Linked DNA regions of Oryctolagus cuniculus. The main gene of each other region encodes a partner of the protein of the gene in region 2 in a complex. Links are inferred from orthologs where the notes say so. Each region holds a gene or a part of one and is shown on either strand. Other genes may lie near its edges. The genes, in order: S100A1 and CAPZA2.

Region 1 (4,400 bases), on a different chromosome or scaffold from region 2:
AGGTGATCTATAAACCAGGCGTTTTGACTTCACCCGGGCGTGGGGGAGCCTGGGAAAACCCAGAAGAGAAGCACGAGAGAGGAGAGAGATGGCTGGGCTGAGGTGAGGCGGGGTGGAGAGAGAGACCACAGGGAGGTGCCCACTCCCTTCACCCCTCGCCCACCCCGCCCCGGACGCCCACTCCATGCTCACGTCCAGGAAGCCGGAGAGCTCCGTCTGCAGCAGCTCCTTCAGTTCTTTCTTGCTCAGCTTGTACTTGTCCCCCTCCTTGCCCGAGTGGGCGTGGAACACATTGATGAGGGTCTCCATTGCCGTCTCCAGCTCAGAGCCCATTGTGGCAGTGCACCTACCCCCCAGGCCCCCCAGAGCGAGGCAGTGAGCTGGGGACCAGGTCTAGGGTGTCTGGGGTTTGGGTGAGGGAAGCCTTCAGGCCTGGCCTTGGTCCCACAGCTCAGAACAGCTGTGAGATTGGAGTCCTGTTGCCTCTTATCTTTCTCTGAACTTGTACCTTGCAGGGAGACCCTGACACCTAAATTATCAGACCTGTGCTCTGTAGCCGAGCCAGAGAGCCAGGTTGGGGCATAGAGACACAGCCGCTGGCGCTGGTGGGCTCCAGAGGCCTGCAGTGGACACTCGCAATGGCTCCTGGCCGCCTGGACAGAGGCTGCTGAGGGTGGGGCAGGCAGGATGGTCACAGGACCAGTCTGGCTTCCTCTGGCTCCGTTTTCTATTTTTACCCTGGACCTTGCCTGCTGAGTGCAGCTAAGCTCTTCTGTGGGGGGTGGTGGGCTGGGGTCTCCTCTAAAGCCTACTCTGCCACCACCCTTAGTGTTTGGTAGTCTCTTTGGTACTTGGGTGGTACCTGATGGCAGGAGTGGCAGCCGGCTCGGGGGCCCCCAGGCCTCTTGGGCAGGGAGTCTCACTGCTTCCCAGCCACCTGTCAGCAGCTGGGCCCCCTTTGGTCCTTCAGCTCATTCTCCTGAACAGAGTCCTTGGGGCTTCTCTGGGGCACACTTCCCACGATCTCCAGGCTGTTTCCTCTGACTTCTCTGTAAAACCATCCCACCTCGGGGATGGGCGATGGGATGGGAAGGGAAGGAGGAATGTGCAGGCCTTTGCCCAGGCTCCAGGGCTCCCAGGGAGGGGAAGAGGAGACCTGGAGGCCAGCCTGACTGATGGGGGGCAGTGGGGCAGGGGCTTGGCACTAGTATGTTGGGAGAGGGAACGGGCTGAGTGCATGAGGTCTTTTGAGTTCAGGAGGCCTGGGGGAGAGCAGGAGAGTGGAGGGGTCTGTTGGGGAGAGGAGGGTGCCAAGCCAGGTGGCCCAAGGGGCAGCTCAGATGTCTCAGCTCAAATGTCGCCATCCTTCCCTGGTCCTGGGGGACTGGACCATGAATGGGCCCTGATCAGATGACACCCCAGTTCCTCAATGGGGCCCTTGTGAGTGTCACCTGAACTCTGGACATGAGAAGTGGTTGTCACAGAGACACAGGGGAGATGGAACCCAAGCCGGGGCTGATGGAGGGGATAAAAGGGTGCCCCAGGGAGGGAGGCCGCTGGCTCAGTTACCAGCGCCATCCAGGAGGGGCCTAGGATTTTATGTGGGGGTGGTTCTGAGAGGGCCTCAGGTCAGGGCAGATGGGAAAACTTGAGAGGAAAGAAATGGGGGGAAAGAGGCTGAGAAAGGGAAGGGAGGGGGGTCATGGTACCCGAGGACCTCTCTTCCTGATGTCACATGGGCTGTGCTCTGCCACCTCCAGACCTCCCTGGGCTTTGAGCTGGCAAGGTCGGTGGGGGTGGCAGAAGCTGAGCTGGCTGGAAGGGAGGCAGCGACACACCTGTTCTGCTTTCCTCTTCTAAGCCCTGGGGAGCAAGACCCCCTGCTGAGGCCCCTCCCCATGGGGGACTGAGGGAGCCTTGGAAGGGGGCCCAAGGGCTGTGGGAGGCGGGGCCCTGGAATCTCAGTGGCACAGTCCCCCCTTGGCTTCCTCACTCATTGGGCTCCCAGCCCCCACCACCTCCCAAACCTCATCTCCCCCAGATCCCAAACCCTGACCAACCTCTCCCAGACCCACAGTGCACCACAGTGCCATAGGCCATGGGCTCTTGGAGCCCCTCTGAAGCCCCCTGCCCCCAGGTGGGCCAGGCCAGAAACCCAGCCCGCGGTGGGGCGGGATACTCACAGTCAGCCTGAAGTGGGAGCAGGTTCCAGCCAGAGGGCCAAGGCTGCAAATGTGGCTTCCGAACTGTGCGGGACCTGTCTTCAGCCGGCCTTCCTCCGCCCACCCTGCCCGCCGGCTCCACCCCTTCACGGACAGACACCTCGGGGGCAAGGGGCCAGGAACGGACACAGGCGCCCTCTGTCTCCCGGGCTAGAACAGGCTGCCCTGTGTCTCTTCCCTGCGGCGGCTGCCGCCACCCCCCTCTCTGCTCTCTTGCTGGGCACAGGAGGAAGCAGGCGGGAAAAGACCTGCAGCGGGACCACTGCCCTGTTTCAGCGCCAGCTCAGCTGTGCAGCTCCTGAGGCTGCTGGGACCGGCGGAGGGCAGATTCTGCCGAGGGGGTCTCAGCCTAGGCGCCTCCACCGGAGTCTCCCTGAGCGGACCCCTTAATAAGCAGTTCAGTCTTGGGAGCCTCTTTGAGGGGTTTCAGCAGAGACCCCGCTGAGAGCTTTCAATCTGAGGACACCCCAACGGGGGCTATCTCAGCCTGGACTCCGTCTGTTCGTGGGCGTCTCAGCCTGGGCTGCCCCGACGGAGGCCTTGGGCTGCAGGGTCCTCGGTGGGGTTCCCGTGCTGGGCGCCCCATCGGCAGTCACCTCCTCTACCCTCCCCCACCCGACGTACACACTGCGGGATAGACACTGGGGTGTGGTGCAGCGCCCCCAGCCCCGGGAAGGAAAAGCCTCGTTAAGACCCCGGCTAAGCCGGGACCATCCAGGCAGCTCCGGGCAGCGCCCCCCAGCGGGGGCAGGTGGGGCTGGGGGCGAGCCGGGCCCCGGGCCCGAGTGCACGGGGGCGGGAGGCGTGATTGGGCGGTCCTCGGAAACTTGACCCAGTCGGTTGGGGAGTGGCTCTCGCCTCCTCCCCCCCGGCGTTATAAACCTCAGCCCTGCGCTGTCGCTCGCCGCCGCACCCAATCTCTTGGTCCCGGTGAGTTGCATCCCCCCCCAAGCCTTGCGGGGAGCCTGGGGAGTCTGTTTTCTTCCTGGACTCCTAGCTCCCTCCCCCGGAGCCAGGTCAGGCAGGGATTCAGGAAGTGGCTTGGGGAGAACCAGCTTCGTCTCCGCAGGAGTGTGTGTGTGTGTATGTGTGTTGTGTCTGGTTGTGGTGATGTGGGGGTGTGGTGGACCGAAGGGGGAGGGAAGAGCTGCGTGTCCCCTTCCTCTGGCCCTCCCCTGCCCGCCCGGGGCTGTGAGCGCCGGTGCCAAGCCCTCCCTGGGCAGGGAGTCCGCTGTCACTGGAAGGCTCTGCCCCTGAGGAAAGGGAGGATGGGGAGCAGAGAAGATGGGGCTGACCGCGCTGAGCCGGCCCTGACCACAGCTGGACGTGTGCCAGACCCTGGGCTTCTCTGTGGGGAAGAGCACCCACCCCCAGCGTTAGCAAGCTTTGGCTTGAGGCTTTCAGGCTGGGCAAGATCAGGAGGGACAGAAAACCCACAAAATGGCCCCCAGACTCAGAGGACTCCAAAGAAGGACCCCAGACTGAAAAGCTCCTCCCAGATGGAGGGGTCTCCGTAGTGAGTTGCCAAGACACAGGCGCTTTATCTTTTTTGTTTGTTTGAAAGGCAGAGAGAGCCCGTGGGCCCATCTGCTGGTTCACTCCCCAGATGCCCACAGCAGAGAGAGGTCTGGGCCAGGCTGAAGCCAAGAACTGGGAACTGCATCTGGGTCTCCCACTTGGGTGGCAAGAGCCAAGTGCTTGTGCCCTCACCTGCTGCCTTCCAAGGGAGCGCATTAGAGGGAAGCTGGAATTGGAAGCAGAGCTGGGACTCGAACCCAGGCACTCCCATATCAAATGTGGGCATGCCAAAGAGTTGTTTCTTCTTCTTCTTCTTCTTCTTCTTCTTCTTCTTCTTCTTCTTCTTCTTCTTCTTCTTCTTCTTCTTCTTCCTCTTCCTCTTCCTCTTCCTCTTCCTCTTCCTCTTCCTCTTCCTCTCCTCCTTCCTCTTCTTCTTCTCCTTCTTCTTCTCCTCATTCTTCTCCTCCTCCTTCTCCTTCTTTTTTTTTTTTTCTTAAGATTTATTTATTGGGGCTGGCGCTGTGGCACAGTGGGTTAAAGCCCCAGCCTGCAGCGCTGGCATCCCATATGGGCACTGGTTTGAGTCCCGCTGCTCCTCTTCCAATCCAGCTCTCTGCTATGGCCTGGGAAAGCAGGAAAAGATAGCCTAGGTCCTTGGGC
Region 2 (4,262 bases):
AGGCATATATGAAATTATACCAGTAATAAAAATATTTAAATGTGCTAAATAATAAAAAAACAAACCAAAAAACATATTAGAAGTCATCACTATTTAATCTTTGGTATCTACAAATTTTACTTTAAAAGAACCATTGTTTCTCCTTTTTAAAAAATTGTCAACAAATTAAAAACAGAGACAAACCCAGAAAAGGATCGCGTAACCAATTTTGTTTAAAAGAACATGGTATCACAAGAGCATGGAATTTGAACTCTGACAAACTTGGATCCAACTACCATCTTTGCCACTTTCTACCTAGTTATCCTTGGAAGAATTACTTAAAGCTCTTAAAACCTCTCTTTACTCATCTGTGAAATGGTAATAATAAAACTACCCACCTAGGCCAGCGCTGCGGCTCACTAGGCTAATCCTCCGCCTTGCGGCACCGGCACACCGGGTTCTAGTCCCGGTCGGGGCGCCGGATTCTGTCCCGGTTGCCCCTCTTCCAGGCCAGCTCTCTGCTGTGGCCAGGGAGTGCAGTGGAGGATGGCCCAAGTGCTTGGGCCCTGCACCCCATGGGAGACCAGGAAAAGCACCTGGCTCCTGGCTCCTGCCATCGGATCAGTACGGTGCGCCGGCTGCAGCGCGCCGGCCGTGGTGGCCATTGGAGGGTGAACCAACGGCAAAGGAAGACCTTTCTCTCTCTCTCTCTCTCTCATTGTCCGCTCTGCCTGTCAAAAAACAAAAAAAACAAAAAAAAAACTACCCACCTCAAGTTCATAACAAATTTAAGAATGTATTTGTCTATATACAAAGGGTTTTACACAAATCTTAACAGCTCCCTTCCCTTAGATCTGCCTTTCAGAATGAAAATTTCAAAGCTTAAGAGTACAAAAAGGTTGTTTTCGAAGCTTACAAATAAAGGAGCAGAAAGAGTAACATGATTTAAATTTAAGTTTAAAAATATCACAATTTCTCATCCCTTACCAACATCCTTCTCCCCAAAGATTGAAAAAAGCATTTTCATAATTCGAGTATTAAAATTCCACTGACTGAGCTGTTTTTTCCTTAAATTAGCATATACAGGGATGAAATCTGTATGTAAAATATCTACAGAATATTTTCATAAAAGTCTGAATAAAAACAGAAACACCAAAATCCAAGCTGGAATTTTCACTCACTCATCCAATATTATGCTGGGCAAGCTGGATGGCCAGCTTCTGCCCCTTCTGGAACTTGGTGCTCCCAGAGTGCCAGATAATAAGGGATCTTGGCATCTCATTTTGCTATTCCGGACCTTTGCAACACATGGCAGGTCTGTATTAACTCCCACACTGAGTACTCTCTCCCCAACTACATTTTTAGCCACTTGAACTACTAACAACCACTTCAGAATGATTGAGTAAAGGCACAACAATCTCTTCGAGAAACCGCACTACTGAACCGTGTATGCATGTGTTTGCTCATGTCCACTTTGAGTTGCCACCTCCGGCCTGTTTACCAATACCACACATATGAACAGTGCCCAGTAACTTTTGCCGGATCTCCGACAGGGGCCTGTCCATTATGGAGAATCTTGTTGCTCTCCCCTCCTCTTTTTTTTTTTTCTGTTGTTGTTTCTTTATTACCACTTCATAGACAGAAAACACTTTTAAAACTGAAGACAGAGCTGCCTTCTGCACACTCAGCTGGGGAAAGAGAATCTTAGATTTTGATGCAAGAACACAAGAAATAAAAGTATCCTTAGACTGATATTAGGGTTTGTGAAACATCGTAATGTAACTTGCCTGTGTTTCCTACAAAACCTTACTATTTTGAGAACATAGGCACGCAGCATGGTTACAGACGGGCATTTCCAAAACGGTCACACTATCTTATTCACGTCGTGTTAGATACTTTTAAGTCTGAGAAACATCAAGGTCCTCTCCAGGAAATAGTCAAAAATTATTAGGGTTCCTCCCCACCCCGCCCATCCCCGAGAACCAGGCCTTCCCCTGCAGCCAAAGGGAACGGGCGAATAAGAGAGAATTAGTTCTAGAATCGGTTTTCTTATTTCACACGTCTGAGGACTTAAGTCTCTCATCTGGTTCCATTGCTGTCACAGCATCGAACACACGGTTAAAAGGAGTTGCACCGCCTAGCTTCGGAAGAAGTCCCAGCAGGAAGAAACGGGGTGGCACCAGGTCGCCCCCCGCCTCCGGAGGCTGCTGCCCACCGGGGCAGAAAAGAACTACGGGAAGGGGTCTTTTTGTGAGCAACTCGGATCCCTCTCAAGGAACACGGAGCTGCACGGCTTCCAGCGAAAGCGAAGCAAAGAAAAAGCAAGAAACCTCCGTAGGCAAAAGGGAAGCCGGAGAGGAGGAGGAGGAGGAGGAGGAGGAGGAGGAAAGGCAGCCTTCTGGCGATGGGGCGGGGGAAGTGGAAGGCCCAAGTGCTTCCTAAGCGATTTTCCCCCTTCCCCCTCACCCCCGGCGACGCTCCAGGCCAGGCCGCCGGGCTGGGCACTGCCCTTGGGCCTCTCCCAGGCCGGAACACAGACCCCCTCTGCAGTCCCCGGTGCTCCGCGCAGCGGCCCCGCGGCCGGCGCCGAGGCAGAGGGTCCCGCGCAGCCGCCGCCCTCCGCTCGCGCCCCCCGCCCCCGCCCCCGCCCTCCGCGCCGGGCCCGCAGCCGCCGCCCGGCGCCCGCTTCCTATTTTCGGAGCACACACCCTACAAGGAGCGGCGCGAGCAGGCCCGTCAGAGACGGGCGCCCGCGCGGGGGCCTCGACTGACTGACAGGGGCAGGCACTAGGGCACAGCGAGGCGGGGGAGGAAGGGCAGCCGAGGGCACAGCCCGTCGGCCAAAGCCCGTCGCCACCGTCCAGACTCGGCGGTGACACGCCGAAGCTCTCCCGGCTCCGCACCGACCCTCGCCGCCGCCGCCCCCGCGGCTCTTACCTTCTCCTCATCAGACAACTGCTCCTCCAGATCCGCCATCTTCCTTCTGGCGACAGACCGTGGCGGCGGCGGCAGCGGCCACCTGACTTCCCCCTTTCGGTGCGGTCCTCCGTGTCGCGCGCCCCCGCCAAGGGAGGGGCCCGCCGCCCAGACCGCCGCGCACGCGCCTTGGGAGCCCCGCCTCCCTCAACCCGGCCCTGGGGGCCCGGAGTGCGGCTGTGCGCAGGCGCGGGCGCCTCGGAAGCCGGGAGAGGGAAGCGTTTCCGACTGCCGCCTGCCGCTTGCTGCCTGCCGCAGGCTTGTCAGCCTCCGGAGAACGAACGGGGATTTCTCCCCACCAGTGACCATATGGGCCCCGTCTGCGACGAGTACATTCTGAGCTCTTGATTCGTTCCCATCGAGTCCTGAACTCTGCCAGCTCCAATGTGAAAAAGCGTACAAATAGGATCCTTAGATAAATACTCGGCTTTAATTAAAACAGGCACACACAATCCCAGTCCGTAATTGTGAGATTGTGCTAGGTAAATTCGTTTACTCGTTCAACGTTTATTGGTCTTTTATTGTGCACCGGGCATCGTGTTAGTCTCGGGATTTTCAATGTTGCGCAAAAAGGCAGAAATCTCACTTTTTTAAAGGTTTTATTTATTTGAGAGGTAGTTACAGAGATCTTCCATCTGCTGGTTCACTCCCCAAATGGCCACAACTGCCAGATCTGGGTCTATCTGAAGCCAGGAGCCAGGAGATTCTTCCAGATCTCCCACGCAGGTGCAGGGACCCCAGGACTTGGGCTGTCTTCCACTGCTTTCCCAGGCCATTAGTACGGAGCCGGATCGAGAAAGGAGCAGCCAGGACAGAAACTGGAGCCCAAATGATTTGCCAGTCTGGCAGGCAGAGGCTTAGCCTACTATACCAGTGCTGGCCCCAAAACCTCTCTTTTCAAATAACTCACTTCCTCTATTCTTCAGACACACACTGAGCAGTTGGGGGAGGCGCTGCACTTTTGCCAGGGAATGGATCCTACCATCCTTAATAGGGTGGCCAGATTAAATACAGGACAACTAGCAAAATACGAATTACAAATAAACAATGGCTTTTTAAAAGAAAGTGTCCAATGAAGCATTTGAGATACACTGAAAAGTTACCCGTTTCTAATTTTACTGGATGTTCTTTACTTTCATATGTGAAATTTGGCAACCCTTCTGAGACTTCAAGATTTTATTTATTTATTTTTTGAATGTCAAAGTTAGAGGGAGAGAGATCTTCCATCCTTGGTTCACTCTCCCAAGTGGCTGTAACTGCCGGTGCTGAGCCAGGCCGAAGCCAGGAGCTTCAGCTGGGTCTCCCAC

Evidence for each region.
Region 1: the proteins of CAPZA2 (region 2) and S100A1 are in contact, whole or in part, in an NMR structure (PDB 2KBM), measured with the Rattus norvegicus proteins. The link is inferred for Oryctolagus cuniculus from reciprocal best matches to the Homo sapiens genes CAPZA2 and S100A1. Residues at the interface, in NP_001009180.1 of Rattus norvegicus: Thr267, Lys268, Ile269, Asp270, Trp271, Asn272, Lys273, Ile274, Leu275, Ser276; in NP_001007637.1 of Rattus norvegicus: Ser44, Phe45, Leu46, Asp47, Lys50, Asp51, Ala54, Lys57, Ile58, Glu61, Leu78, Ala81, Leu82, Thr83, Ala85, Cys86.

What each region holds. Positions count from the first base shown.
Region 1 is NC_091438.1:44,676,665-44,681,064, forward strand, and holds the start of S100A1 (protein S100-A1), read right to left. Parts: upstream 3,042-4,400; 5' UTR 2,184-3,041; intron 1,864-2,183; exon of another isoform or gene 1,710-1,863; intron 347-1,709; 5' UTR 334-346; coding exon 193-333; intron 1-192. UniProt on the Homo sapiens protein: Small calcium binding protein that plays important roles in several biological processes such as Ca(2+) homeostasis, chondrocyte biology and cardiomyocyte regulation.
Region 2 is NC_091434.1:152,377,848-152,382,109, reverse strand, and holds the start of CAPZA2 (F-actin-capping protein subunit alpha-2), read right to left. Parts: upstream 3,056-4,262; 5' UTR 2,956-3,055; coding exon 2,917-2,955; intron 1-2,916. UniProt on the Homo sapiens protein: F-actin-capping proteins bind in a Ca(2+)-independent manner to the fast growing ends of actin filaments (barbed end) thereby blocking the exchange of subunits at these ends.